Canis lupus familiaris: one gene and its partner. The protein of the gene in region 2 interacts with the protein of the main gene of each other region in a biochemical or structural test. Links are inferred from orthologs where the notes say so. Each region holds a gene or a part of one and is shown on either strand. Other genes may lie near its edges.

What was found.
Region 1: the proteins of GSK3B (region 2) and MUC1 form a complex in vitro, tested with the Homo sapiens proteins (2 studies listed by BioGRID). The link is inferred for Canis lupus familiaris from reciprocal best matches to the Homo sapiens genes GSK3B and MUC1.

The regions. Positions count from the first base shown.
Region 1 is NC_049228.1:42,320,757-42,335,519, reverse strand, and holds MUC1 (mucin-1 precursor), read right to left. Parts: upstream 8,639-14,763; 5' UTR 8,603-8,638; coding exon 8,542-8,602; intron 8,189-8,541; coding exon 7,393-8,188; intron 6,760-7,392; coding exon 6,537-6,759; intron 6,431-6,536; coding exon 6,375-6,430; intron 6,259-6,374; coding exon 6,128-6,258; intron 5,970-6,127; coding exon 5,848-5,969; intron 5,763-5,847; coding exon 5,613-5,762; intron 4,690-5,612; coding exon 4,615-4,689; 3' UTR 4,323-4,614; downstream 1-4,322. Other genes in the region: TRIM46 (tripartite motif-containing protein 46), read left to right, coding at 61-363, 1,091-1,388, 2,367-2,760; THBS3 (thrombospondin-3), read right to left, coding at 11,091-11,149, 11,239-11,378, 12,266-12,438, 12,663-12,859, 13,028-13,076, 13,187-13,365, 13,530-13,723, 14,000-14,052 and 2 more. UniProt on the Homo sapiens protein: The alpha subunit has cell adhesive properties. Can act both as an adhesion and an anti-adhesion protein. May provide a protective layer on epithelial cells against bacterial and enzyme attack.
Region 2 is NC_049254.1:24,296,644-24,311,345, reverse strand, and holds the start of GSK3B (glycogen synthase kinase-3 beta), read left to right. Parts: upstream 1-5,560; 5' UTR 5,561-5,717; coding exon 5,718-5,805; intron 5,806-14,702. UniProt on the Homo sapiens protein: Constitutively active protein kinase that acts as a negative regulator in the hormonal control of glucose homeostasis, Wnt signaling and regulation of transcription factors and microtubules, by phosphorylating and inactivating glycogen synthase (GYS1 or GYS2), EIF2B, CTNNB1/beta-catenin, APC, AXIN1, DPYSL2/CRMP2, JUN, NFATC1/NFATC, MAPT/TAU and MACF1.

The DNA of each region.
Region 1 (14,763 bases), on a different chromosome or scaffold from region 2:
TGCCCTCCATGCCAGGCCCATGACCAGGCCCCGACTGACCCCAGCTGTCTCTCCCAACAGTGCCCGAGGCTCCCGTCATTGACACCCAGCGCACCTTTGCCTACGACCAGATATTCCTGTGCTGGCGGCTGCCCCCCCACTCGCCACCTGCCTGGCACTACACCATCGAGTTCCGGCGTACCGATGTGCCTGCCCAGCCAGGCCCCGCCCGCTGGCAGCGGCGGGAAGAGGTGAGGGGCACCAGTGCCCTGCTCGAGAACCCTGACACAGGCTCTGTGTACGTGCTGCGTGTCCGCGGCTGCAACAAAGCTGGCTACGGCGAGTACAGTGAAGATGTGCACCTACACACACCCCCGGCACCTGGTGAGTGGGCAGATGGGGGGCACTGTATGGCACCTCCAGGGCGCAGGGTGTGTGGGGACCCACGAGCCCTACTGACAGCTGGTGCTGGGCAGGCACTGGACAGACAACAGTGGGCTGTGCTCCCGGACCCTGGGGCTAGGCTGCCTGGGTTCACATCCCCACTCTGCCTCTTGCCAGAGGTGGCCCTGGGCGAGTCGTGTGCCCCCACTGAACTCCCAGTCCCTCTTCTGTAGGGACAGTGACAGTGTCTGTGAGAATGAAGCCAGGTGAGTTCCCAGCTCCCACTAAGAACTCCATGATGGCAGCTCTCCAGGGGGGCCCAGCTGGGGGGTGCGCTGCAAGGTGTAGGTTGGAGGTAGGGGGCATAGCACCAGCTGGAACAGAGCAGCAGTGGGGACTCTCTGGGGGGCTAGCCATCAGAGAGGGGTGGGAGGAAGCCCTGCAAGTCCTCTAGGTCTGGGGAACCAGTGTCTGGGCCCACCACTAAAACTCTTCCTGGGATCTCGGGCCCATTTGGGATGCTCTTCTTTTCTCCCTGTGTTCTCCATTGCGATTCTGTAGGCCCTGGTCCCTGGAGCCCCCACCCATCCCTGGCAGCATGTTTCACGTTCCACAATCTTCCAGTGTCCTTTGCTGACACCTCACGGCCTCCACGGCCTCCCTGGCCGGTGTTGAGGCCAGTGTTCATCACCTGACGTCTCTCCTTTGTTACCCTCCCCGACTGCAGTCCTGCACTTTTTCCTCGACGGCCGCTGGGGGACAAGCCGGGAGCGTCTGGCCATCAGCAAGGACCAGCGAGCAGTACGGAGTGTGCCGGGGCTGCCACTGCTGCTGGCTGCGGAGCGGCTGCTCACCGGCTGCCACCTGAGCGTGGACGTGGTCCTGGGCGATGTGGCTGTGACCCAAGGACGCAGCTACTGGGCCTGTGCCGTGGACCCGGCCTCCTACTTGGTCAAGGTGGGCGTCGGCCTGGAGAGCAAGCTTCAGGAAAGCTTCCAGGGTGCCCCCGATGTGATCAGCCCCAGGTCAGGCCTCTTGGGGGGTGGCATGGGGGCCCAGGTGGGGGAGCTGAGGATGGGATGGGGGTGGTGAGGGGAGCTCCCACGGGCTTGGGGGGCAGTGGGGGACTCTAGGAGCATGGATGCCAGGCTGAGGCCTGTGGCTGGGGCAGGCGGGGGCTTAGGGGAAGGGCTTGGAGAATTGGTTTTCCAAGGAGGAGCATATGGCTGGGAGAGGGGGCCATCCACTTGCTCCATCTGTCCTCAGGACCACCACACCATCTCTCCGAGCCTCTGCGCCTCCCAACACCCTGTTCCAATGCATTTTCTCCACGAAACCCTCTCTCCTCCTTCACCATGTCTGTTCTCAACATCCTGAGATCCTTCCCTGAAAATGTCCACCTCCATCTCCTCTCTTGCCAACGCCTGTTTAACACCCCCTAATACATGCACTTCTCCAAACCCTTCCTCCCAGCACTCCCTTAGCAATCTCTAAATACCCCATTTCTCTGCAGTACTCTCCTGCCAACATCAATCCCCCCAACCCTGTGGCGCCCCCAGCCCCCTCCATCCCACCTCCCTCCCAACACCCACCTCCCCGACCACCTTCTCTCTCCAGCCCCTCAGTGACGAAACCCTCATCCTTGAATGCTCCTTGAGGGCCTCACCAGCATGATGTCCCCATGTCCCCACATGGTTCTCCTTGCTACTTGCTCATCTCCTGTCTTCCTGGGACACTTGATCCCCAGCTAGTCCCTCCTTCTCCGCCACCTCCCTGCCAGTGTGCCTGCTTTCAATATCCCTCTCCCGCTAGACTCACACCCGCAGCCCCACATTTTCATCGCTGTGTCTGCACACATCCTCTCAGTACCCCAAATGGATCCTTTCAACCACTTGCTCCCTGACATTCCATCCTCATGGGCTCAGGCCTCTGCCCCCACCCACCCACCCGGAGTGCCACACCCCTCCCCCCCAACACTCTCCTACCCAACTCCACTTCTGCAGGTACGATCCGGACAGTGGGCATGACAGTGGTGCCGAGGATGCCACAGTGGAGGCGTCCCCGCCCTTCGCTTTCCTGACCATCGGCATGGGCAAGATCCTGCTGGGGTCTGGGGCCAGCTCAAATGCAGGGCTGACAGGGCGGGATGGCCCTGCTGCCAGCTGCACTGTGCCCCTGCCACCCCGCCTGGGCATCTGCCTGGACTATGAACGGGGCCGCGTCTCCTTCCTGGATGCTGTGTCCTTCCGTGGGCTCTTGGAGTGCCCTCTGGACTGCTCAGGGCCTGTGTGCCCTGCCTTCTGCTTCATTGGGGGTGGTGCAGTGCAGCTTCAGGAGCCCGTGGGCACTAAGCCTGAGAGGAAGGTCACCATTGGGGGCTTTGCCAAGCTGGACTGACCCTTTCTGGCCCCTCCTGGGCCCTGGTCCCCAGGCCTGCTGGAGCTGGGTTATTCCTCCGGCAGCTTCTCCCCAAACTCTTCCTGCCATGTCGTCCTGTCCCTTTCCCTATGTCTGTGTATTCCTGGGGCCTTCTCTTGACCAAGGGACTCTCCCCTGCTCACCCTTCTAGATGTCCCCCATTCTCTCCATTGCCTGTTAAGCCAGGCTCCAGCCCCCACCAAGTCTCTGCCCCACACCCTGCCCATGGCATCTTACCCAATTCACGGAGAGAGCCCCTGCCCCATCCTTGTCCTGTACCCCTCCCCAGGCTGACTGGGAGGGAAGGCATCTGGAACACTGGGCATGGCCCCCAGCTCTGCGCTCTGCCCTTGGCCCTGCCCAGCTCCCTGCCCCATGGATGCTGAGCTCCAGCCTCGGGGCAGGCAGGCACTCCCTGGTGAGAGGATGGGGGCCCCTGTCATCCTGCTTGAGTTGTCCAGGTCCCATGTCCCTCAGCCGCATGCCTGTATCTCTCCTCCCTCTTGCATGCTTCACCCTGTCCCACACCCATGCCAACGTGCCAAGTCTCCCTTGGGGCCCCAGCTGAAGTTGGGTGTCCCCAGTGGGTTCGGCTAGGCAAGGCCTTTGGGGCTCCCTGCTGCCCCTGCAGTGGGCACTGCCAGGCCTGTGCCAAGCAACAGCTGTTATTTTCATGGTTTATAAACAATAAATGACGTTGCCAGGCACATCTCTGCCTTCCCTGAACCTGACCATCCCTTTTCATTTCTGCGCTGGGTGTGACAGGTGGGAAGGATCCAGGGAGCTCCGCTACTGCTCAGAACAGGGGTGCTCAGGGGATCTGCTGCCCAAGGGAAGGAGATCCCAAGCCAGGTGCTCCCAACCCTCCTCCAGCCACACGTTCTGGCTCAGGCTCCAGGTGACAGTGGCCTTCAGGGGGTATATTGTGCTGGTGGCTGAAGGCCATGCCAGGGCCAAGGCCCCCAGGGCATGTGGTGAGGGGGGCAGGCACCGTGCCTGGGCCCAAAGGGTCAGGGAACCAGAACCACTTCCCCATTCCCAAGGTGCCTAGAGCAGACCCTGCTGGCCAGGGAGGGGGCCAGGCCTGGCGTCAGCGTCCGGATCTAATGCTGTGCTTATCGTGGCCTGTTGACTCTATGTTGACTCTGCCTGTGTTATCACTGCCCACGGACTTACTTCACACCCTGGCAGCTAAGAATAGAGCCGCCTATGGGCACTGGGCCAAGGGGAGGCAAGGGCGTGGCTGCCACCAGCCCCCAGCCTGAGGAGAGGGGAGAGCCAGGGGTGCAGGTAGAGCTGGGTCACACTGACTTCGGGTCATGCTGGCCTCCAAGCCAACTCAGTTTCGTTTCCTCCTTCCTTGTGTGCCACCAGGGATGCCAGAGGTGACCTGTGCCCCAATGTCATCTCTCCACGTCTCCTGCTTTCCAGACAAAGCCTATTCCTTGCCTTCTTTCCCTGCCCCCAACTCCTGCAAAGATCCCTTCCAACGCCCCCCCAGCCTGCCCCCCACCTATGGGTCACAGATGACAGATCCAAAATTGGCAGTCAGCACAGATGAGGTCCCCATTTTATTCAGCCATGGTCTGGTTTGTACTTCCAACCCGGGGCTTTCTGGGTCAGTCCTCCTGGGAGCCCCTGTCCCCAAGGGGCTCGGATGGGCTTCATCAGCAGGGCTGACATGGGGTAGGGGACATGGTGGGGTCTGTGAACAGCCCACCTGAACCCCCTAGTTCACCAGCCCAGAACACAGTTGAGAGGAGAGGACTCTGGTGGGGGTCTGGGGGAGGCAAGTGGCATTGTCATCTGGACCGCTGGGCAGGCAATGTGCTCCTACAAGTTGGCAGAAGTGGCTGCTGGGTTCGGGTTCATGTAAGAGAGGCTGCTGCCCCCATTGCCTGCAGAAACCTGGGTGGAGGGAGGAGACATGGGCTGAGAAGCTGTGGGTTTCCTGGGAGGAAGTGGCTCCTGGATCACACCACAGGGTGGGGTAATAGGTCCGAGAGTCTAACTCTCAAAGGGTTAATTAGGAGAGCACCTGCTGGGCACTAGCAGCAGCCAGGTGACTGTAAACAGGGCGCAGGGCCACTCCTCCTCCCTCTGGTCCCCTTCACTGCCCCCCTCGGCTCTCAGCAGCCCCCTCGCCCTCCCCTACTGCCCCTTTCTCCTTCCATCGCGCTCCTCCAGCCCAAGCAGGAGTATCTGCCTCTGTAAGACTGGGAGAAGGAAGTCTCTGAGCAAAGAAAACAGGCTCAAGGGAAGGAAATTCCCCTCCCCCGACCTGGAGTGTCGCTCAGGTGGCCCAAGTAATTATTGACTAGGTCCTGGAGAGAAAGGCCAGGTGAGAAACAAGGAGGAGGGGTCCTCATTTCCTCCAGACTCCTGAGAACCCCTTGGCACCCAGGCTCACCTGGATGGGTTATACTTCTCCCCCACATCAGAGACCCCCTCTATTCCTGCCAGACTTTCTAAATCCACTCTCTGCTCCTAGGAGCTAAATGAATAGGGGCACAGGTGCTCATCCTGCATTGATGGCGTCACATCCCTTTCATCCTGGGTCCCAGGGAGCAGCTTGTGCTGCCAGTTCAGCGGAGCGGGGAATGCTGCTTTGGAAATGCTGGTCGTGGGGACACTCTCTTTTGAGATCCCCTTCCTCTCAAGGTCTCCTCCCCTCCCCCCGCTGTTCCACCCCACCCCTCCTGCCTCCGTGGGCCGCCACCACCACCACCACTTACTTGGTGCCCCTCTCCTATTCTACCTTCTCTGAGCATTTTCAGAAGCCCCGCACAGCCCAAACCTCTGCCTCCCTCCACCTGCGGGGCCCTCCTCACCTCCTCATAGGGGCTGCGTCTATTACCGCCAGGGGGCACATAGCGCCCATGGGTGTGGTAGGTGGGGTACTCGCTCATAGGATGGTAGGCGTCTCGGGTTGGAAAGATGTCCAGCTGCCCACAGTTCTTTCGGCGGCACTGGCACACAGTCTGGGAGAAACAGGGTGTTATGGGAGGCCATGGAGTTTCTTCTAGCAGGGGGGCTTCTGGCCAGGGCTGGAGACCTAACACTTACCAGGGCAACAACATAGATGATGGCGAGTGCAACCAGAACACAGACCAGCACCAGCAGGGCAATGCCCCAGCCAGGAACCCCAGACTTGAACGGGGCAGAGGAAGGGAAGGACACATCTCGCACTAAAAGGAAAAGTAGGGGTCAGAATATTCTTCCAAAGGAATGACCTTCCGTATTAACACCCTGGGGGACAGTAGGAACCCAGGTGCTGGAGAGAGGGGCCCCCGGAGACAGAAACAGAGACATGGTGCTGGGCCACAGCTGGGAAAGGTGGCCTCACCACTAATACTCGAGATGTTCAGGTTATATCTGGCTCCTTCTTTGCTGTCTTCAAACTGTGTCTTCACCTTGTTGGCATCAGTGGCACCATTTCGGAAGGCCAGAGTTGATTCTACCACCACAGATCCGGGTCTGCTCACAGGGAAAGCGGTGACTCAACCATAAGTCCCACCTTCAGGCGCAGAGACTCCCCCAACCAAGGCAACCTGCCCCTCCCCCACACAGGTTCCACACCCAGAACCCCCTACCTGAATCTGATGTTATAAAGGCCCAGGAAATATTCCTGTCCATAAATCTGCAAAAACTGGGGTGAGAATGGAAGGACTAAGGCTTGAGGCAAACAGTCCAGGCAGTTTGGAGGCTGCTGTGGGGGGAGCATGGAGCACAGAAGAATAAAGACACCTACTCACCAATTCAGAAATGTTCCTCTGCAGCTCCTGGTAGTAGTTGCTGCTGGGATTTTCCAGAGAAGAATTAAACTGGAGGTTCAAAATGGAAAAGGACAGGAAGAAGAAGGAGATCCTAATAGACTGGGGAGAAGTGCTATGATTGGAGGAGATGGGAGGTTCCATGTTATGGTTAGTGGTACTGGCGGTAGTCCTGGTGGTGTGGCTGCTGGCCCAGGATGAGGAGCTGAGTTTTCCCAAGGTGGAGGTGGAGCTTGAGGCTAGGCTGGTGGTGGAGGATGAGGTGCCATGCTGTGCTGGGGTGGTGGTGGAGCCTGAGACAGGGCTGCCGGTAGGGGATGAGGAGGTGGAGCTTGAGGCTGGGCTGCTGGTCAAGGATGAAGAGCTATGCTTTCTCAAGGTGGAGGTCAAGCTTGGGGCTGGGCTGCTGGTCAAGGATGAAGAGCTATGCTTTCTCAAGGTGGAGGTCAAGCTTGGGGCTGGGCTGCTGGTCGGGGATGAGGTGCCATGCTGTGCTGGGGTGATTATCGAGCCTGAGACAGGGCTGCTGGTCAAGGATGAGGAGCTGTGTTTTCCCAGGCTGGTGGTCGAGCTTGAGGCTGGGCTGCTGGTCAAGGACGAGGAGCTATGCTTTCTCAAGGTGGAGGACGAGCTTGAGGCTGGGCCGCTGGTCGGGGATGAGGTGCCATGCTGTGCTGGGGTGATTATCGAGCCTGAGACAGGGCTGCTGGTCAAGGATGAGGAGCTGTGTTTTCCCAGGCTGGTGGTCGAGCTTGGGGCTGGGCGGCTGGTTGGGGATGAGGAGCTGAGTTTTCCCAGGCTGGTGTTTGAGCTTGAGGCTGGGCTGCTGGTCAAGGACGAGGAGCTATGCTTTCTCAAGGTGGAGGTTGAGCTTGAGGCTGGGCTGCTGGTCAAGGATGAGGAGCTATGCTTTCTCAAGGTGGAGGACGAGCTTGAGGCTGGGCCGCTGGTCGGGGATGAGGTGCCATGCTGTGCTGGGGTGATTATCGAGCCTGAGACAGGGCTGCTGGTCAAGGATGAGGAGCTGTGTTTTCCCAGGCTGGTGGTCGAGCTTGGGGCTGGGCGGCTGGTTGGGGATGAGGAGCTGAGTTTTCCCAGGCTGGTGTTTGAGCTTGAGGCTGGGCTGCTGGTCAAGGACGAGGAGCTATGCTTTCTCAAGGTGGAGGTTGAGCTTGAGGCTGGGCTGCTGGTCAAGGATGAGGAGCTATGCTTTCTCAAGGTGGAGGACGAGCTTGAGGCTGGGCCGCTGGTCGGGGATGAGGTGCCATGCTGTGCTGGGGTGATTATCGAGCCTGAGACAGGGCTGCTGGTCAAGGATGAGGAGCTGTGTTTTCCCAGGCTGGTGGTCGAGCTTGGGGCTGGGCTGCTGGTCAAGGACGAGGAGCTATGCTTTCTCAAGGTGGAGGACGAGCTTGAGGCTGGGCTGCTGGTCGGGGATGAGGTGCCATGCTGTGCTGGGGTGATTATCGAGCCTGAGACAGGGCTGCTGGTCAAGGATGAGGAGCTGAGTTTTCCCAGGCTGGTGGTCGAGCTTGAGGCTGGGCTGCTGGTCAAGGACGAGGAGCTATGCTTTCTCAAGGTGGAGGACGAGCTTGAGGCTGGGCTGCTGGTCAGGGATGAGTTGCCTCCCTGTGCTGGGGTGATTATGGAGCCTGAGACAGGGCCCTCTTCCTCCTTCCTGTTAGTCTCCCTCTCTCTTCCCACACCCTCTGATCTTAGCTGTCCATTTCTCCAATCCTAATATTTACCTCTCCCGACTCCCACCACCTCCCCAGACTTCTCTCCAGGTCACTGTAAGGTCCTGGTGCCAGCTCTCCTGAGGGGCTGACTCTCCCATCTGTCCTTAGCCTCTCTCCATTCCGGCACAGACTGGGTCACCCCTGTCTGCAAATTCTGCCCCTGGGGGTGCGATCCGCTAGGAAAGAAAACCCACAGAATGGCTGGGAAGACCCCATGAGCAAGGCAGCCCCCATCTTGTGCCCCTCACCTGTAAGCTCTCGGGTTACCAGGAGCAGGAAGAAGAAAGGGGCCTGGAAGCTTGGAATCATGGTGGTGGTGAACTGGGTGGGAGGAGGTGGAACAGTTTCAGGAAGGCGCTGCGTGTGAGGTGGAGCGATCACAGGCGCCTGCTGCTTTATACCGGTCCCCAGCCCGCCCTAGACTCCCTGCGAGCAGGTGACAGGTAACAAAACTCCACCCCTTCCCCCTTTCCTTACCTCCGACTTCTTCCTCCTCCTCCCCAACCATTCCTGGGCCCTCCTGGAGGGTACCTGGGCTCCCATCACTCAACCCTCTGACAACCTGTTTGTTCTCCAAATGGTCTACTCCTTCTACCAACCACTCCCTGGCTCCAGAAGGCAGTGGAGGAGTGGGGGGAGTCCAGGACCTGGGTCTCCCGGGCTCCCCGTTTAGCCTCAGGGCGACAATCAGGGTGAGAAAAGGAACAGAGGAATGGGCTACGTCAGACCCGGACAGCAGGCCGAGGAAGCCCACCCTTAGGTCCCTCACCCCACTGCCTCATTTTCACCGGGTCCCTGGAAGCCGCCCTGCGGGGGCTGGGGAGGAGCGAGACGGCTCGAAAAAGGGTGGACCGGGTGCCACTCGTGAACCCCCTCCCCCCGCCACTTTCCGGAATCTCTGCTCCTCGGCCAGTCCCAGCCGCTCCCTGTCCCGTTCCTCACGCAGGTCCCCCGAAACCCACAGTCCCCGCCCCTGCAGCAGCCCGCGTGCCCTCCTCAGCTTCTCTGGAGGCGGGGGCGGGGGTTAGAACCCCTTCAAGCTCCGCGGGACCCCGGGGTCTTTCCTGTCGGATCCTCGGTCAGCGGCGGGCCGGGCTCTCCTGCCCCCTGGCGGCCCCCGGGAGCCTGGCAGCCGTGCGCGCGGGAACCGGGGGCGCCGGGGTCTCGGGAGAAAGCAGCGTGCTAGAGCGCGGCCGGAGGGGCCGAGGCGGGAGGTCGGGGAGACGCGGGCCCCGGCGCGCAGGTCAGGGGCTCGCCCGCAGAACGCAGGGACGCGCGGCTCAGTCCACGGAGGGGCTGTCGGCGATAGGGGACCCCGGGGCGCGTGGGGCGGGGTCCCAGGGAGCCGGCGCTCGGTGGGTGGGGCCCTGAGGTACGCGGTAGGGGCGCCCAGGTATGTGGGAGAGGACAGCGGAATGTGGGAAGGGAAATGGGTCAGGTTAATGACTCACTTAGCAGGCAGGGACTAGGTGGGGCAACAGAATGGTATTTGGGGGCCCCCGAGCGACGCTGGGGGGCGGCAGGCTCTGCTGCGACCACGGGCCGTCTGTGTGGGGGCGTGATGGGGGTGCAAGGAGGACGAGGGCAGGAATGTCTGGCGCGGGGAGGTATTTGGGGCACAGAGCACATGGAGCGCGGGGGTCGGGCCCCCTCCGGAGGCTACATCCCCCCAGTTCTCGGTGGCCGCGAGTACAGGCTGGACAAGGAACTTTCAGGGCACTCGGGTGCGGTGGGGCTGGAAGAAGCCGGGCGGCCAGGCGGGGCGCGCGGCCCGGGGGTGGGGAGGGGGTTGGCGCGGAGGCCCCCCCACCCGCCCGCGGGAGAAAGCGCTAGCATCTAAGTGGGCGGGCCCAAAACTTCGGCCCCGTCGTTGCCTGGCAACAGCCATTCAGTCCGGTTGCTGGGACACGCGTCACCATGGCGACAGCTCCGCGCCGCCCGCTCCGAGTATTTAAAGAGCAAGCGCGCGCAACGGCTGGGTGTCGGAAAGCAGTTTTCCGGGCCACCGCGGTCTCCCCTCCGGCCTCCGCGTCCCCCCACGACCGTCCCCTCCCCCTCGTTCAGGCGCCAAGTCTCTGGCCTCCAGGGTGGACCCGACTCCCCAGCGCGACACCGTTCCTGGGGCTGGTCCGGCTGCAGGCGGTGCGGAGCGGGATCCCGGGCCCCGGGTGGGCGGGAGGGACGGGACGCGGTGCAGTGTTGTTCTCTCCCCCGCCAATATTGCACTCGTCCCGGCCTCCGGCCCCCCCGGCCCCCCGGCCTCCCCCTCGCCCCGAGCGGCCCAGCTCCAGCCCTCCTGGCTCTCGATCCGAACGACCTGATAGACTGGATTGTCGCCGCTGCCACACCGTGAGTAAGGGGGGGCCGGGAGGGCTTTAGCCATCTTCTGGTCAGCCCCTTATCCTTCACCTGCCCCAATCCAGTGCCCTTCTTCCGCCACGCCACGGGGCCCCACACTCAGGAACTTCCAACCTCCCAGCCCTCAGGCTCCTTCCTGCTCCCTGCACCATCCCTGGAAGTCCCTCATATAAGCAACACGTGCTCCCTTAGAAAACCACTGTAACTTTATGGCAACTGGAGGTTATCTTTCCTGGGGTTAGCTCCTGAGAAAAATACCCCTTGAAAAGCTCCGTCTCCTGGACAGTGGGGGTCACCACCCCTCTGGGGCTGAACACCTGTGGGTGCCACAGGACAGTCTGTTTGGCTGGGTGGCTGTAGATTAGACCCCAGGGGCTCCAGGATGGACCCCAAGGCCGGAGGATCTAAAATCAGGATTCTGAGTCCAGTGGGCACCTCTTCACACTCTTTCCTGGAGCAGCTGCCTCCGGAATGGCTCAAAATCCTCAGGCACTGTGTCTAATGAAGGAGAAAGGATTAAGGTCAGAAGATAGAACTCTCCAAGAGGGGATACAGAAGGTCAGGGTGATCTCAGACTGGAGCCTCACCATTGCATCGATACTGGAGATTGGACCAAATGATGTTTTCTTGGGAGAAGCAGAATACACCAAGACGCCCTCCTCGCATGGCTGTGTCAATGATCACCCCAGAATCCGCCACTAGCTGAGGACCCTCATAGAGCTTCACCCTGTCCAGGATAGGGGTGTCCATTGGTGCTAGGGTGCCAGCAGGCACTGGGCCATCGAACCCAGGCCCTGCTCATCCCCAACCCCCCTTGAGCTCACCAGGCCAGAGAGAGAACGGAAGGAGGGAGTGGGAGGAAGGAAAGGGGAGGGACGGGGTGCTTTTCTCAGGACTGGGGCCCCTGCCTCTTTGTCCACCCCCTTTGCATCTCAAAGCACCAGCCGCATTCCAAGCGAGGATTGGGTTGCCATGACAATGAGCACAATGGGCTGGGGGGTGAAGTCACCCGCTTCCCAGGCTCTAGTCCACCCTCCCTCATCCTCTGCCCTGGCACCCTGCAGCCCCAGGCACCTTAAAGGGAAACCAACCCAAGTCCCTGGACCCTAGGCTCTTGCGTTTCCCCTCCCTTCCCTGTCACCCCCACCAACTAGGAAATGCACAGTGCTGCACACAGCACAGAACTGAGAAGCCTTAGCTCTGCTACTAAGAACCATGTGGTCTGGGCCTCAGTTTACTCTTCTGCAAATGACCCCTTCAGAGTCAGCTTCTGGGAGGTGCCACAGAAGGCACCGAATGTCACGGGCCTCTTCACAGACTGGCCTGCACTTTAGAGGCTCCCAAGGTATGCCCTCATTTTACAGAGGGGAAATTGGATCATGGACCAGGAAGGACTTGCCCAACATCGCCTATAGGTCCTGGGCAGCACCAGCTCCAAGGCCCAGGCTGCCTGACAGGTAGGAGAGTGGGGCTGAGAGGGCAGAGAGAAGCGGCTTCAGTCCCAGCCCATGGCACCAAGGAATGGAGTAGCAGGGCAGTCACTGGTGAGTCTCAGCTACAGATGAAGAAAGAGTGGGCTGGGGTCCCTCAGGATGGTGCAGCCCCTCCCCTCACCGAATGTAGCCAACTTGGGGCCGGTGCAGCAGCTGCCAGCGATAGGAGGTCTTGTCACGCCAGCCCACATTTCGTGGGTCAGTCCACAGCAGTCGGACCTGATCAGGAGTGTGGCCAGTATGCCACAGGGCATTCCGGAGGTGTTCACCGGGGCCGGACACTGATGTCACTGCCTGGAGGGTATTGGCAAAGACAGCAGCTCAGCCACAGGTTGATAACGGGTTGATAAGTGCAGGTGGAAAAGGAAGTCAAGGAGATCGGAGAACATTCTAGAGTCCTGGGGAGCTAGCTTCCAGGCCATATGTCTAAGAAAGAGGGTTCCCCCTCAGGCAGTGGGGGAAGCCCTAGGGTCAGCCCAAGGAGGCTTTGGGACTGGAGGAAGTGGGCAGACTCAGACCTTGAGCTGCAGCCCGGGCTGAGCGACAGCCCGGAAGGGTGTGGCTTGCCAGTAGGTCTGCTCTGTTTGCTTCCACATGACCACATAGAAGCGGCCGCTATCCTGATAGCTGAAGAGAAAGCCTGCGTAGTCATCATCAGTCACTGTGTTCACATGGAAGGTGCCTTCAAAGTCCACACCATTGAAGGCTGTATACCCTGGGGGTGGGTGGGATCAAGGTCAAGGGCAGCAAAGCCACTACAGGCCTGCTGTGGGCCAGGGGTGGGAAGGAATGCTTGCAGTATGGGTGGCCAGTGTGGCCCCCTCCCTCTGCCCCTGTAGGATTCCTCCATTTGGAAACGATTGACTGGGTGTCCCGCACATACCAACTGCCAGGCCGGGGTCACTGTTCATGGTCTGAACGATTTCCATACCCTGGTGGTGTGTAGTAAAGAAGAAAGCCCTGTTCCGGGTACGCTACCTCATCTAGGCCCCACCTGGTAGTCTGCTCTGTCCAGCACTTGCCCAGCCCACTGCCCTCGTACCTGATTGAGCACGACCCAGTTTGGATCAATCTGAGCATCACCCTCAGGATCCAGGACAACAGTCTGATAGGCTCGAAAATCTGTGAGGGTCACCTCTGCACTTTCAGGGCACACATCCAGGGGATCTACCACCGCATCATTGTCAAAATCATCCTCACACACATCACCAACGCCATTGCCTGGGCAGAGTGAAGCCAGGCATTCAGGAAGGCCTGGTCGTGGCCTCTAGACAACACTACCAACTGTTGGGCCTTGTCTTCCTGACTTCCCCCTGGCAGCACCTACCACCTCCCCCTGGGTAGGACTCCCACCAGTGCCATCCTCTGTGGGACCCCAGCCTTACCATCTGAGTCCTTCTGATTGGGATTGGGTACCAGGCGACAGTTATCAGGACCAGGAGGCACATAGTCTGGGACCCCATCATTGTCATCATCCCCATCACACTCATCTCCAAGTCCATCATTGTCTGAGTCCAGCTGGGAGCTGTTTGGCAGCTGTGGGCAGTTGTCTTTGGTGTCCTGATGTCCATCCCCATCACTGCCCAGAAGAGGCATCAAGTAAAAGCTCTAAAAGTACCAAGTCCATCCCCTCTCTTCTGCTCAGGAGTCTGGGGTGTGCCCTCCATTCAGCCACATTCCCTGCAGTCAGCCAGGTGAGGCGAAGCTCCAACAGCAAAAGTGGGGGGTAGCCTAGGGGAGTGACTTCCCACCCAATAGTAGTGGAGAATCAATTAAGCTGTACAGGAAGTAGAAAACAGACTGGAGGAAAGTAAAGGAGCCCGGATGAGACCAGCTATTTCCTGGCGCCCCCTACCTGTCCTCATTGGTGTCACAGACATCCCCCACCAGGTCACTGTCTGCATCTGTCTGAGAGAGAGGGGCCTGTTCTCACCATCTCTTGATAACTCTGAAGACAATGGCCACACTGCTTCCCATGTGAAGGGCTGGGGCTTTACTTCCTGTCCTCCCCATCCCCTGTACCTGGGTAGGATTGCTCATTTCAGGGCAGCTGTCACAGGCGTCTCCTACCCCATCCTCGTCCCTGTCTGTCTGCAGGGGGTTGGGGACTTTAGGACAATTGTCTAATCCATTGGGGATGCCTACGAGACACGCAGGTTGCACAAGGTTGTCACTACAACATGTCACACTCTTTTGGGGTCAGCGAAAGCCCAGAGCTTGTCTCCCACTCAGAGGACAGCAGGTTAGAGAATCCACCAGGACCCCCTTGCCCACTCCTGCCTCCCCCTGCCTCCTTCTTCACGTCTCCAGGGACTTCTGCCAGCCCACCTACCCCCACCACAGGTCTCACACTGCCCAACTGCCCTTCATTCCCACCAGCATCCGAATCCTCACAGGCCTCCCAGTCCCCCCGGCCCCAGCTGCACCGTCCCCATCCACATCGTTGTCACATGCGTCCCCTTCCCCGTTGCCGTCTGTGTCCTTCTGGTCATTGTTGGGAACGTTGGGGCAGTTGTCACAGGCATCCCCGAATGAATCTGTATCAGAGTTTTGCTGGTCCTTGTTGGGGAACAGCCGGCAGTTGTCCTGGGGCGGGACAAAGAGTCAGGCTTCCCTTGC
Region 2 (14,702 bases):
TTCGGTTTATTAATTCCTAATCAAATTGAGAAATTTCATTTTTTTCTTTGGTTCTTCTGCAATCCTACCTTTGTTTTTCCTTAAGTGTTTTGCTTATGTAAAAGTGGAAAATGAAGATAATACTGGAAAGCATAGAGATAATAAAGATCATCCAAAATGCCATCAAAATTAGTATTTCCAGACACCTGTGTGCTTGCATGGATATTTCTATGTAAATGAGATAAACATTACTTTTTCATGGAGGGCAGAGTAATCTAGCAGAAAGAGACTGAGGTATAAATCCCATCCCAGCTCTGCCAGTATTTTTTTTTTTTTTAAGATTTACTTATTTGAGAGAGAGAGAGAGAGAGAGAGAGACAAAGAGTGCAGACAAGCACGCACACACAAAAGCGAATGGGGGAGGGGCCAAGAGAGAGAATCCTCAAGCAGATTCCCTGCTGAGCACGGAGCCTGATACAAGGCTCAGTCCCATGACCCATGAGATCATGACCTGAGCTGAAATCAAGAATTGGACACTCAACCAACTGAGCCACCCAGGTAGCCCCTCCAGCTCTGTCATTTACTTATAACGTGACCTTGAGTACTTATTTTTTCCTCCATGTATTAAAAGAAGGGCTAATAACACCTATCTCTTGGGGTTTTGAGAAAATTTAAATAGGTACTCAATGAATATAAATTTATTTTTCCTTTTTAAAATTTTTCTTCAATTTATTTTTCCTTAAACATCAACATTGAGGTGTTTAATATATTTTGACTAAATAAATGAGGTATTACAAAGAAGAGTTTCCTTGTGGACTTCTATTTGGAATGGTTGACTCTGAGTTCATCTAACTAAACTATCTCATATTCTATTTGCTATCTTCATTCTTAAACCTGCTTATATTTTCTTCTAGTTTCAATTAAAAATGCAGCTAAGTGGGGTGCCTGGGTGCCTCAGTCAGTTAAGCACCTGATTTTTGATATTGGTTCAGGTCATGATCTCAAGGTCATGAGATTCAGCCCTGAGTTGGGCTCTGTACTCAGCAGGAAGCCTGTTTGAGATTCCTTCTCCCTCCCCCATACCCCTGCTCATGCAGGCACTCTAAATAAATAAATCTTTTTTAAAAATGCAGCTAAGTGAGACGCCTGTGTGGCTCAGTGGTTGGATGTCTGCCTTGGGCTCAGGGCATGATCCGGGGATCTGGGACTGGGTCCTGCCTTGGGCTTTTTGAGGGGAGCCGGCTTCTCCCTCTGCCTATGTCTCTGCTCTCTCTGTATCTCATGAATAAATAGATACAATCTTTAAAAAAAAAAAAAAAAGGCAGCTAAGTAATTTTAAGCAAGTCACTTACTGCAGTGTACAGTAAAAACAGAATAGTTTCAAGTAGTACTTCCTAACTGCAAACTGCTATACAAATTTCTTATTACTACAAAAGTTAGTTCATTGTGCATTTTAATTCATGACTATTATCTTGTGGCCACATTCATCAACCTCTTTTTTTCTACTACATCACTCAGCTTTCCTACATTTGTCTTTTTCTAATCCTTTGGTTTACTGTTACTGTGGCTCAGAATCACAGATCTCTGCAAGGAAGCATTTGATGAGCCCTGGAGGAAACCAGAGATATGTTCACAAGTCACACATAGTTCAAGATGTAAGGCTTAGACTTTAAGATAAAGTAAAAAGACCAGAAGAGGTGAGGACTGTGTTTGAAAGAGAATAGAGCCTAGGAACAGGACATCTGAATCCTAGCTGTTACTTTAGCTACATGGACTTTAGGTTAAGTTAGTAAACCCTTCTGGAATTTCCCCATCTGAAAAGTGGAGGTGGTAACAGTACTTACATCATAGTACTATGAATTTGAGATAATATGTGTGAAGCTCTTAAGAACAGTGCTTGGCACATTGTAAACACTCAGTATATATCAAATATTAAAATTATTATAAACTGTTAAGTGGTTAACATCAGGTGGGAAGATAAAGCAAGAGTTTGTTAGTTCAGAGAAACACTGAATGTTAATTTCAGTAGCTCTATTTCATAAACTTCTTCCTTCTTAAGCCCTAATTCTAGATTGAAATACTTTTTTTTTCCTATAAAATTTCTCTCTTTGGGTCAGATTTTTTTTTTATTTAAACAGCATCAGTTCAAAATACTTGAAGGCAGTAACAGTAAAGCTATTAATTACAACCTTAAGTTTGGCTATTTTTCTACTTTATTGTATGTAGAAGAACAGCCGTGTTTCCAATTTGTATAACCTAAACATTTGTTACTGACTTTCCTCTGGTATAATTGGAAGTAGGAGTAGGGAGTAAAGAAGAAGGCAGGATTCAAAGCTTTGCTTCACAACATTTTAGGTACTAGAGCCAAAGGTCTTTCATAATGCCACAGAGAGATAACATTCATCTGACAAAATTGCCATGCACTGCATTTGCTTTTAACATTTTTATCCATTTCTGTGACATCCAGAGACCTTATGTTTTCTTTTAATTGCAAAGAACAAGAGACTCTATTGCTATAAAAGCTATGTTCAGGTTTAATATTACAAATCGACTGCATGTTGGCCAGGTCTTCACCTGGATATTTTGAGTTTGGCCTGCAGGGTTCTGAATATTGGCTGCTAACACTTAAAAATCCAGACATCTCGCACAAAAATCGTTTTAGGGTTTCTCTGGGCGGGGGGGGGGGGGGGTCGTCATCTCAGAGTATTGGACCCACATCCCTGTGGGCAACAATCCGCTGGTGCTTAACAGCCGCTCTTTTCAGTTATAGCATGGGCACTAATTTGCCATATTTCTTATTACTCTTCATTGTTTCACACCAGGCCAGTTTCATTCATTTGCTTTCTTTTTCCGGGCCCCGTAGGCATTTGAGTCTGTAAACCCTATCTGGACTTTTCCTGTCTCCCATCAAAGCTTACTTTGTTCCAAGTCCCTCGCGAGTTTTTCAAAGCAGCGGCGAGGTAATCTGATGGACTAGGAGTATTTTCACATGTGCTTTCTGGAGATAGTATCTTCACAAAAAGGATGACTCTGCAGGTGGAAATTACAGGCACCACGGGATTACGGTCAGGATGGCAACTGTCCATTCTATCTCCTTTTTTTTTTTTTTTTTTTTTTTTTTGGTATCCTGGCTTAGCCATACCTCACGGTCCCCAGGCAAACCTAAGGAATTTGGTTCTCGGCCGAACAATGCACGCGGGCTTCTGTGTGAAACCTACGTAACTAGTACTCTTACGGCCTGCCCTAGTTCCAAAGGGCAGAAAGCCACGGGCTCTTCTGAATCCCCGCTTCCTCGGAGGCTTCAGGATATCCGGCCCGACGGCGTCTCCCCATACCTGTTCTCGGGGCTCGCTCTGCGCCGGGCCGTCGCGCCCAAGGAGCGCGCGCATCCAGCATGAGCTCATTTCTCAGGGGCGTTTCCAGAAGGCCCAGCCCGGCTGCGCACGGCAGGCGCGGGCGGCCTCACGTTATCAAAGGCCCCCGCCGCTGGGCAGGGCAGGGCAGGGCAGGGCAGGGCAGGGCGCGGGCGCCCGGGGGCGCTGCCTGTCCGTGAGCTTTCCTCCTACTTCAGCGTCTGAGGGGGCTCGCGCCCGGCGGGGCAGGCGCCCCGCACCCGTCTGGCCCTTTCGGGGAAGACGCTGGTTCTTCGGCCGCGCTCTCCCGGGGCGGACGGGGGAAGCCCCTGTCGCCGCTCTGTTCGCTTGAGCGCTCCGGGCCGGGCGCCGCCGACCGCAGCAGTTTCGGACCCGCTGCGCACGCCAGCTGCGGTTTCCACAACGACCGAGAGCGGCCGCAGACCAGCCCGGCGCACCGGCCGCCACGACCCCGGCGCGGCTCCCCTCAGCTCCTGAGGCCGCCGCCGCCGCCGCCGCCGCCGCCGCCGCCGCCGCCGCAGGCGGAGGGCCAATCACAGCGCAGCTAGGTCTTGCGATTGGACGGCCCTGAGCGCTGATTGGCTGCCGCTGCGGGCCTCGGCCTCCCTCCTTTTCCCTTTCGCCCCCACTCCGGCTCCAAAGCTTCGGGCCAATGAGAAGGCGCTTTGTAGACGTCCTCCCTTTTCTTTCTTCTTCTCCCCGCCTCGGCGAGGGAGGAGACGTCCTGACTGGCCAGACTGTCGTCGGAAGCCCCCGTCGCCTCGCCAATCCCCGAAGCAGGTACACTCCCAGCGGAGTTTTCGGCCAATTACGAAGGCGGCCGGGGCGCCCAGCCGCGCCGTTTCACCAGTGACTCCGGGTTTCGCCGTCCTTAACTCCTCCAGCCTTTCGGTGAGGGCCGGCGGCTGTGATTGGCCGCCGCTGCCATTGTCGGATTCCCCCGCTGGCCAGCCGCGGGACGAGCCCCGACCTTCTTCTCGCTCGGCGGTCTTCGGCACTTTCCGCTCTTTGGGCGTGGACTTCCGGCGACACTTTGTAATTGGTTCCTCGGGCCGATCGGCTTTTTCCGGGAGGAGCCGCAGGCAGCCGACGTCCGTGATTGGCTGTGCCTCCGGCCTCGGTTCCGTCGCCGAAGCGGGCGGGCGCGGACCTCGGCCGGCGATTCCCAGACGCCTGTTACGCGGGTGGCGGGGCGCTGGGCGGTGGAAGGCTGGGTGGGGGAGGAAGGAGGCGGAGGACGAGTAGGAGGGGGGAGGGGGAGTGGGGAAGAGCTAGGCGGCTGCGCAGACGGCGCTCCTCACACAGAGCAGCCCCCGACCCGGGCGAATGCAGGCTTGTGCTGCCGCCGCCGCCGCCGCCGCCGCCGCCGCCGTCGCCCGGGCCGAGTGACAAAGGAAGGAAGGAAGGAAGCGAGGAGGAGCCGGCCCCACAGCCGCTGACAGGGCTCCGGGCTGGGGGCAAAGCGCGGACACTTCCTGAGCGGGCACCGAGCAGAGGCGAGGGGCGGGAGGGCGGCCGCGCTGGTGCCGCGGACGGGGGAGGGGGCCCCCGGGGACGGAAGCGGTTGCCGGGTTCCCATGTCCCCGGCGTATGGGGAGCAGTCGAGGATCCGCCGCCTGGGGTCTGAAGGGAGCTGCCTCCGCCGCCGCCGCCGCCATGGCCGCTGGATCCAGCCGCCGCCTGCAGCTGCTCCTGGCGCAATGAGACGAGGAGCCGCCGCCACCGCCCGCCTCTGACTGACTCGCGACTCCGCCGCCCTCCAGCTCGCCGGGCCCCCGCCGCCAGCCCGCCGGATCCCGCCGCCGCCGGAGCCGCAGCGTTTCCCGTCGCATCACCGAGCCACCCCCTCCCTCTCCCTCCCTCCTTCCCATCCCCCCTTCTTTTCAAGCGTGAGACTCGTGATCCTTCCGCCGCTTCCCTTCTTCATTGACTCGGAAAAAAAATCCCCGAGGAAAATATAATATTCAAAGTACTTCTTTTCAATCAAGTATTTGCCCCCGTTTCACGTGATATTTTTTTTAAGACCCCCCCCCCCTTCTTCCTCCCTTCCAAGGAAACGGAGGGGAAAGAATTGTATTTTTTTTCCCCCCAGCCCCAAATCATCTATATGTTAAATATCCAAACTGGTCTGTCTTGAAGGAGAAATACATCACTCGTTTTTTTTTTTTGTTTTTTTTTTTTGTTTTTTTAATTATACAAAAGGAGCGAAAAGCCAAGAGGACGAAGTCTTTTTTTTTTTTTTTTTTAATCTTCTCGTGGGAGAACTTAATGCTGCATTTATCGTTAACCTAACACCCCAACATAAAACAAAAGGAAGAAAAGGAGGAAGGAAGGAAAAGAGGGTGATTCGGGAAGAGAGTGATCATGTCAGGGCGGCCCAGAACCACCTCCTTTGCGGAGAGCTGCAAGCCAGTGCAGCAGCCTTCAGCTTTTGGCAGCATGAAAGTTAGCAGTGAGTATTGATTTTATTTTACGCCCCTTCTCCACCTCACCCTTAAAATAAGAAACCTTTAGTAACCAGGATCTTAAAACATTAGACCTCCTGATACTAATAATCAGAGGTATTGAAAAGGGCAAAAACCTGTCTTAAGTCCAGGGTTAGGCAGCTCCCTCTTTTTCTCCTCCCGCACCACCTCCCACCCCCCCCCCCCCCCCGGTCTCATTAACCTTGAATTGAGAGAATATGCTTTTTATTTGCACGATTTGATTTGGAACTTGTTTCTTACACTTTTTGTGCGGTTAGTCGTCCGCCTTATCAAGTGTGCTTGACTGTTTCTATGTTAAAACGGCGATGAAAGTAAATAGTTGCTCATCCCTTCGGAAAAAAAAGGGGGGGGGGAAGGACAAGACGATTCAAATTATTATGTACATTTGCCGAGTACGTGTCTTTTAGAAGGAGGGTTATTTCAGCTCAGGCCTCGGGGATTATCGTAGTTTCGTGTACTTGCTAGAAGGACTGTAAGTGTCACAGTCTCCTAACATTTGTTTGTTGCCTGTGTGACTACAAAGTATTTGTTCTTAATCCGGAGATGAACTTGCTCAGTAACTCGTATTCACGTTTGGAGGAGAGCCTCGAGTTCTCCCTTTAGAAAGGGGTCGGTGGGAGCTGATAGAGACCCAGTAGCAGTTGTATTGCTACAGGCATTGTTTTAATTGGATACACGATTTAATGTTATCTCTTAACCTCCTCGTTTTGACATTACCAATTTACCACTATATAATTTATGTTTAATCAAAAGGTAACTTGGAAGTAGGGCCAAGTTTTGATTGAGGTTTGTCTTGTCAGGTTGCCAAATACTAAGTTGAATGTTAATTGTCACTGACTCATCATTAAGTTCAGTTTTGGGGTGCCATTTGCATTCAGCACTTGTTCAATGATCTGGAGTTCAAGGGCCCCCTTCTAAGGACTATTTACCATAGTATTTAAAATACTCTTGCATTGGTTTCCTGCCGCAGTTAGAGAAAACTATGGATTTAGTTATAACAATCTGGATTTAGACCTTTCTGTCACAGGTTTTGCAGAAAGCTGTAGTCCGGGACATAATAAGGTATTTGAGCTTGTGTTCAGGGTTGTTGCTAGACTGTACTTTGTCCCAGATTTGTGCTAATAGTCTGTGTTCTTGAGGTGTTTGGTATACTAAGTATCTAGTGTTCCAAAGTATCTCTATTTGTAGATATGTTTATGTGGTATTTAGCGACAGCTTATTTAAACCGCACTTCCAGAATTTGACAAAAATATCTACATTGTTTCCTTATTCCTCTAGAAGGGGGCACAGTGAGGGCAAAGAAACTATTTTGCTGCCTAGGATAAGGAAAGAACTGAGATTTTTAAAAAAAATATGTAAATACTGTTATGTGAAATTGATTATATCCTTAAGCAATATAAACTTATCACTTTTAATTGAGCTCAGGATTTCAATTCATGTTGCCTTTTGGACATGCCTGAAACAGGGTGGTCTAAGGTAGTAGCTGAATAGCAGGTCATTTTTTAAAGTTACTTATTTTTGTGATTAGTACAGAATGCAGGATATGTGAAGAAAGGGGCTGATGATGCATTTTTCAGAGAAGAGTCAAGCTTTCTAAGCACTTCATGGGGTCATTTGAAAGGAATATTTTAAAATTCTGGGGTAATTTTCAGCTATGATGAGGCAAATCTTATAATAGCTACTTAAGAGCCTCTTGTGGTACTGGAGTGTTTGTATGTTTTTCATCTTGGTAATATAGTTTAAAAACCACTTGAAATCAATTTTAGGTAATTATTTTATTAGATCAATTTCAGAGAGCAAAACAGAATGGCTTATAATGTTAATTTTTGGACTTTTCATTTTGTTTCCAAGATTTCCTTTGAAAATGACTCCTTAATTCTTGGTAATGTGGATGTTGACTGAGGATGGAGTAACTCTTGTAAAGTGCATAGGTTAAAGGTGTTTAATTTTCTATTCTCATATGGGTCAACATTTAAAAATTGGAGTTCAATGCTAATTCTGTGTTTTTGACAATCTTAACTGTAAGGATTTTTTTTTTTTTTGGTAAGGACATTTTAGAAGAAAGAAGTATCCTTAAACATTTGTTACAGTGCTACTGTTTTATAAAGGACCCTTGTTCAAAACAGAGATATGTAGAGAAATTAATGGCCCCAATGGCTTATCATTTAGTCGTAGAAGCAGTATGGTACAAAATATGAAAACAATAGCATGATGACTGCAAGATTATAAATACAAATAGAATGCTTTGTTCAGAGGGATGAAGAATACAGGGGTGAGGCCTTCGGGTTGGAGAGGAAAGAAAGACTTGCTGCTGCGATGTGTTTTAAGACAGGTGTTAAAGGAGGCAATCACTTGAATTCATAGAGAAGCATAAAGGATTCTAGATGGAAGGAATGGACAGAGGCACGGAGATGGTGATTTTTCTATGGCAAGTAGATAATTTTTGTACTTACCAAGCAAATTGGTAAATTTGAATTAAAGGGGCCTAAATAGGAAAATAAGAGATAGGATATGGGAAATGTGTTAACCATAGCTGATGGAGAGCAGAGGGGGCCTCTAAGAGTTTGGATGCAGTTCAAGAGACATTGGGATTTATTGTATGTTGATGAACAAGATATTTGAAAGTGATTTAGCAGCTGTGTTAATGGATTACAGTAGACATTAGAACCCTTTTAGCGAGACAGTAGGGTGTGTTGCTAATCATGAAGAAATATAAAATAAAATGTGAAAATGGTATGAAAATAATGCATTTGAGAGATAGTGTGAATGAGGAACTGGCGGGACTTTGGATTGGATCGAAGGGAAATGTTTGGGAAGGAGTCAGGAGTTAAAAATAAATTCTGATGTTGTTGGTCTGGAAGACTTGACCGTTGAGTTATATTGTCAATTGTAATGGGAAAGTTGAGAAAGTGCTGAGATGAGAGGGTAAATGAGTTCACTTTTTAAAAATTTGATGTACAATAGGTTCCCTTGAAGTTCAGCAGGCAGTAGTATTTGGTTACTGGCAATGATATTTAACTTTACAGTCTATTAATTGCACAATTTCTAATTTCTCTTCATCTAAAAATGTTGGATTTATTTTTGGGAGCAGTAAACTAACGGTTTTTACTTAAATGCTTTCTATTAAAGTCTTAAAAAAGAAAGTAATTTTTTATGTAGATTCAAAAGCCTCACCCTTGATCCTAGTTATAACAACGGTTCCGTGGTTTTGAAAAACAATGGAAATTTTTTGGACTAAACTATGACATAAAAACTTTAGGTATTTTAAATAGCCTTTAGTTTAATCTTTGGTATGTTTAAGCCTATTTTTCATAAATAATGGTTATTAGGTAAACTTTGCACTGAAAGTAATGATAATAATACAAGTAAGAATAGTTTTTATTTGGTTTGTGAAGGCTCCAGCAGAAATTAAAAGTTGTTTTTTTTTTTTTTTTTAAAGATTTTATTTATTCATGAGAGACACACAGAGAGAGGCAGAGACATAGGCAGAGGGAGAAACAGGCTCTCCGCAGGGATCACGCCCTGAGTGGAAGGCAGACGCTCAACTGCTGAGCCACCCAGCCATCCCAAAAGTTGATTTTATAAAAATATTTTTTGCCTCGTTAGTTGAATTAAGTAAGCATTCATCCCAAGTTTATATATCGACTTATTTATTTTAAAGATTTATTTATTTATTTTAGATAGAGGGAGAGCATGAGCAGGAGAGGGAAACTCAAACCGACTTCACACTGAGGGCAGAGCCTGAAGTGGGGCTGGATCTCAGGACCCCAAGATCATGACCTGAGCCTAAACCAAGAGTAAGGCGTTTAACTGACTGCACCCCCACTTGCGCCCCGCATTCATCCCGAGTTTAAATCATGTATTTAAATTGTATATCTGAAATATTTTTACTTACTAAGGTGAAACCAGTATTTCTTTTTGGTTCACATCCAGATGCAAGTGTTATTAAAAATATCTTAACAGCTATACAGTTCCTCCTGTAGAATTGTGTGATATTTTACTCAAAGAGGACTGTCTATGGTGATTGTGATTAAAATATTAGTAATAAATCCTTTTGGTATACTGTTGGCAAAAATTTAGCTGATTGGCTAGGTTTAATTTTTACATACAAGGTTTGGAAAAGAGGAAAAGAAATCAGTGAGAATCACTTATTTCCTCATATAAAACTTTTTACATCAATTTTTTTAATGAAGAGAACATAATTAATAGTAGTTGCATATTACTGTGCAGTATTTAGTTGTATTAAAACCAAAGACTACGTGGCAATTTAGTTACTCTGTTCCCAAGGTAGTTTAATCTCCTTGCACCTAAAAATTAGGTTATTAGAATTTAGCCAATTTCTAGATCATTCGCATTTATGTGGATGAGATCTTGTGTATGAAACTGAAAGCTTTACTTTCATTAAGTTTCCATTCCTTTTCCGACCAGACCTTTCCAGAGTTGTTAAAACACTAATACTTTCTCATAGGAATTGCATGCTCTCTTGTTGCATGTACCTGTAGAATGCTAATTGTGAAATGACTATAAGGCACAGGTACTAGGACAAAACTTCAAGGGAATCCAGAGATTCACAAATCAATTTATGGCTGATTGGGAATGGCATTGAGAAAATGAGGTGACATTCATTTCACTGGTGTAGGGAAAATCAGTTCTTGCACCCTGTCCGCCTGCCCCTTGTTTTAGACTTCATTTGGAAGTGTGAGTTACTGTTTTGGAGAAACAGCAAGGCTGGTGAAGCCAGAGCTTTCTAAGTGTCAGCAGCAGGTTCTGAGACTGGAGGATCTCAGTTTTTGTGTATGGTTTATGTATAGAGAATGCTGTGAAACAGGAACTTGCTGACCTATGCCACATTTCCATACTTTTTAATGAGACTAATGGGATTGTGGGATAGGGATAGAGATGGGCAGACTGTAAATCTGTGCTGTCTCTTGTGATGCTCCACCCTACAATGGAGAATGGAGGGACAGAGCACGTGGGTGTGACTGGAGTATATGCTGGTGCTAACAGGACCAACCTGATTTCCCAGATACTGTTATAAAAACATAATAACCATAAGTAAAGGAATTTGTTGGAACATTTAGCATCATTTTCTGGCATATTTTTGGGTGGGAGGTGTGGTGATTTCAAGGGTAGAAGTATTTTTGTGGTGTACGGGTTTTAGAGGAGAGATTGCAGTCTTTGCTTCTGTCTTGGATTGTACAAATCTTGGTAATGTGAATTGCCTTTGAAATTGGTTGAATGTGATGTAGAACTGTATATTCACATGAAGACCTCTGAATAGTACAAGGAAAAACTGACAGTAGAGTTAAAGGAGAACAATTTGTTTTCCCAAAGGTTTTTACCATTAAATTGATTTTAAAAAGGGCTTTTATGCTATTCTGTTTATTACTGAGTTTTCTGTTTTCAAAAATGAGTTAATACGCAGCACATGGACATTCAGAAAACTATTTCAGTGTATACTGTGTCTGTAATGTGCTTGGTCTGATATAAAATATGAAGATACAACTCTGTAGATTTGGATTCTTAATTTACAGCCCTCCTTCCCACTTTTCCTTATGTTTTAGGTAGAAAGAGCTACTTTGGAAGGATATGCATGTTAAAATTTTGTGAATAGTTGAATCTTATATTTTTGTGTTTGAATAGTTTTCTTTTTTCTTTTTTTTTTTTTAAATTTTATTCATTTATTCACGAGAGAGAGAGAGAGAGAGAGAGAGAGAGAGAGAGAGGCAGAGACACAGGCAGAGGGAGAAGCAGGCTCCATGCAGGGAGCCCGATGTGGGACTCGATCCCAGGTCTCCAGGATCTCGCCCTGGGCTGAAGGCGGTGCTAAACCGTTGAGCCACCCAGGCTGCCCCCTGAATAGTTTTCTGAGAAGCATTTTGGTTTGATTAGATTGAGACAATGATGTATTTTCTTGTTTTTCAGTTCATTCTCTCAAATCAACTTTTCCTTTGTCTTCAGGGTACCATGGCCAACTGTTGCATAAAATATAAATCTCTTAATATGTTCCCTTTTCAACATATTTTGGAGTTGTTAATTTCTTGATTGTCCTTTGAAATCAATTTAATAATAAAAAGTAAGCACTTATGATGGAAGAGGAACTGTTTTCCTAGAAAATTGTATTTCAGATGGTGGTGAAATTTAAATGAATTTACAGGCCTGGGATTGAACAGACATGCCCTAAAGTCAGAGAGGTTGGTAGGCAGGCAAAAATAATAGTAACACTGGTATGAAGCACTAATGTTATCTTTTTCATTTTCCTTAATTATATCATGTGAAATCTTTGGCTTTTGAAGCTAAAAATAAATAGGCTACTTTAATAGAAAGTTGAAACAAATAATAATGTGATTGACATGTGATATGCCTATTGAATGTTTACTGTGTTCTAAATAAGCATTTTGCCAAATTTTTTATATACAATATTTCAGTGTAATCATAACTGTAATTCTACAAAGTAGCTAATGCTGTTATCCCCACTTGAAAAAAAAATTTATTCATGGGAGACAGAGAGGCAGAAACACAGGCAGAGGGAGAAGCAGGCTCTCCGCAGGGAACCCGAAGCCCCCCCCCCCCCCCCCCCCCCCAGGATCATGCCCTGAGCCAAAGGCAGACGCCCAACCTCTGAGCCACCCAGGCGTCCTTTTTATCCCCACTTTAGAGATTAGGTAAATGAAATTTAGAAAGGTGAAGCAGTTTATCCAAGATTACATGGAAAAAAGTTGCTTTGCTAGAATTTAAACCCAGGCATTCTGATTCTAGAGCTCTTGCTCTTTATTGTATATGTTTTAGAGAATTGTAATGGTGTTACCTGTTACTTGGATTCCAGAGATAAGCTAAAGTGCCTTTTGCTTTTAGGATTGTTTTTCATTGATAATTAGTATATGTGTAAGACTTTCATGATTAGTACTGCTTTTGAAATTAGTTTCAGGCATGCCTGTTAGCAAATACAGTTCTTCAGTTTTTATAGTTTTATATATATATATATTTTTTTTTTCAAGATTTTATTTATTCATGAGAGACACACAGAGAGAGGCAGAGACACAGACAGAGGGAGAAGCAGGCTCCATGCAGGGAGCCCAATGTGGGATTCGATCCCAGGATCACGACCTGAGCCAAAGGCAGATGCCCAACCATTGAGCCACCCAGGTGCCCCAGTGTTTATAGTTATATTGAAAAAAGTCAATTCTCTTAAGATTTCAGGAAAATTTAAGAAAAACATGAGAGTGGAAATATTAGGAATTTTATGCTAGTCTAAAAGGAAAAATAAGTAACATTTTTTTAATGTTCAGAGAACTGCTTTTTATTGAAAAGTACTGATTGTTCATAAGTAAATCTGGTATATTTATATTTTCAGGTAATATTAGAATGTGATTCTTCAAATTAGCTATTAGGATTATTATTTCTATCTCTTCCTATAGGTTGTGAAGTGTTCTCTTTCTCCTTTTAGTATTTGATACCAAACTTCGTGAAAGTGTGTGTATATATATATATAATTTTGCGATTTTAAGTATATACAATTAGTTAAGTGTCTCGGACATTTGTTATAACTGTGAGTCTTCAGGGTTTCTGTTGTTGTTGTTGTTTAAAGAATAACAGCAGTGCATCAACGTGGAATTGGGTTGTTTGGAACATCACTTTTTTTTGGAATTGGTTGGTATTTGGCAATCAGGAAGTAAACCAAAAAGGCTCCTGAACATCTGAACTCCCCAGACAAATGGTGCAAATGCTTTGTTCATCGTTGGTTTTTTAGGTTGTTATTTACAGTTCTTTATTATTATTTAACACAGTTGTAATTCATTCAATTGCCTGTTTTTTAAAAACTGCAAATTAGAAGGGAATGAATGAGCACTGATACTAAGCATTACACCTCCTAGAAAGAATAGAAGGAAAAGCATGCATGTTGGGATTACTTAGTGTAGGCTTACAAGCTTCAGGGGCAATAACTCTGATAATTGTTCAAAATGTTGACCTAGAGAAGGTTATCTCTCTTTTAAAAGGGCAGAAGGATACCTAGGGTTCTGCAGTAACTTCTCATTACATCAAACATTCTCTAATTTGTTGGTCACTGAAGTGATGAGAAAGATAACTGGGTCATCACTGTCTGGTTGACCAACTTTATTTGTATTTCAGTGATATGGATAAAGGTATTAAAGTTTTTAATATATTGGCCGAGATATTTTAATACTCAGCAACAGCGTTTTATCTTATTTAAGGTTGTTTATTTTTTTTCTTTTGTGGTATTATGGTGTTGCTGTTTGGATTTTAACCTGCTTTTATCTTCCATTTGTGGAATGCTTAGAAGGCACTGCATAGGCTTATTTAAGTTTTCTTATATATTATGATTAGGTGTTAGAGAATAACTACCAAACACACTTAAGACTGTTAATGAGAATTGAAAAGGTGATCTTTTCAATTGTTGATCTGAAGAAAAAGGACAATTGTGGCAATCCGATCATCTTTTGGAAGCTTAAGAAATTCTTAGGGGCTTACTTGGCTAATACAGCTAAAAAAATATTTGGTGTTTTAGATTTTTTTTTTTTTCCCAAGGAAGGCTAACCGATCTTAAAAATGTGACTCCTGGGGTGCTTGGGTGGCTTAGTTGGTTCAGCTTCTGCCTTCGGCTTAGGTCATGATCCCAGGGTCCTGGGCTCAAGCCCTACATTGGTTGGTGTTCTTACTCAACTGGGAGCCTGCTTCTCCCTCTCCCTCTCTGCCAGCTGTTCCCCGTTTCATGCTTGCTCTCTGTCAAATAAAAAAAAAAAAAATATGTTAACTCCTTTTAACTTCCCCTTATTCCATAAAGTCCGTTAATTCTTTTTTTAAGCTGCTTTTATTTTTCTTCTTCTTCTTAATTTTTTTTTTT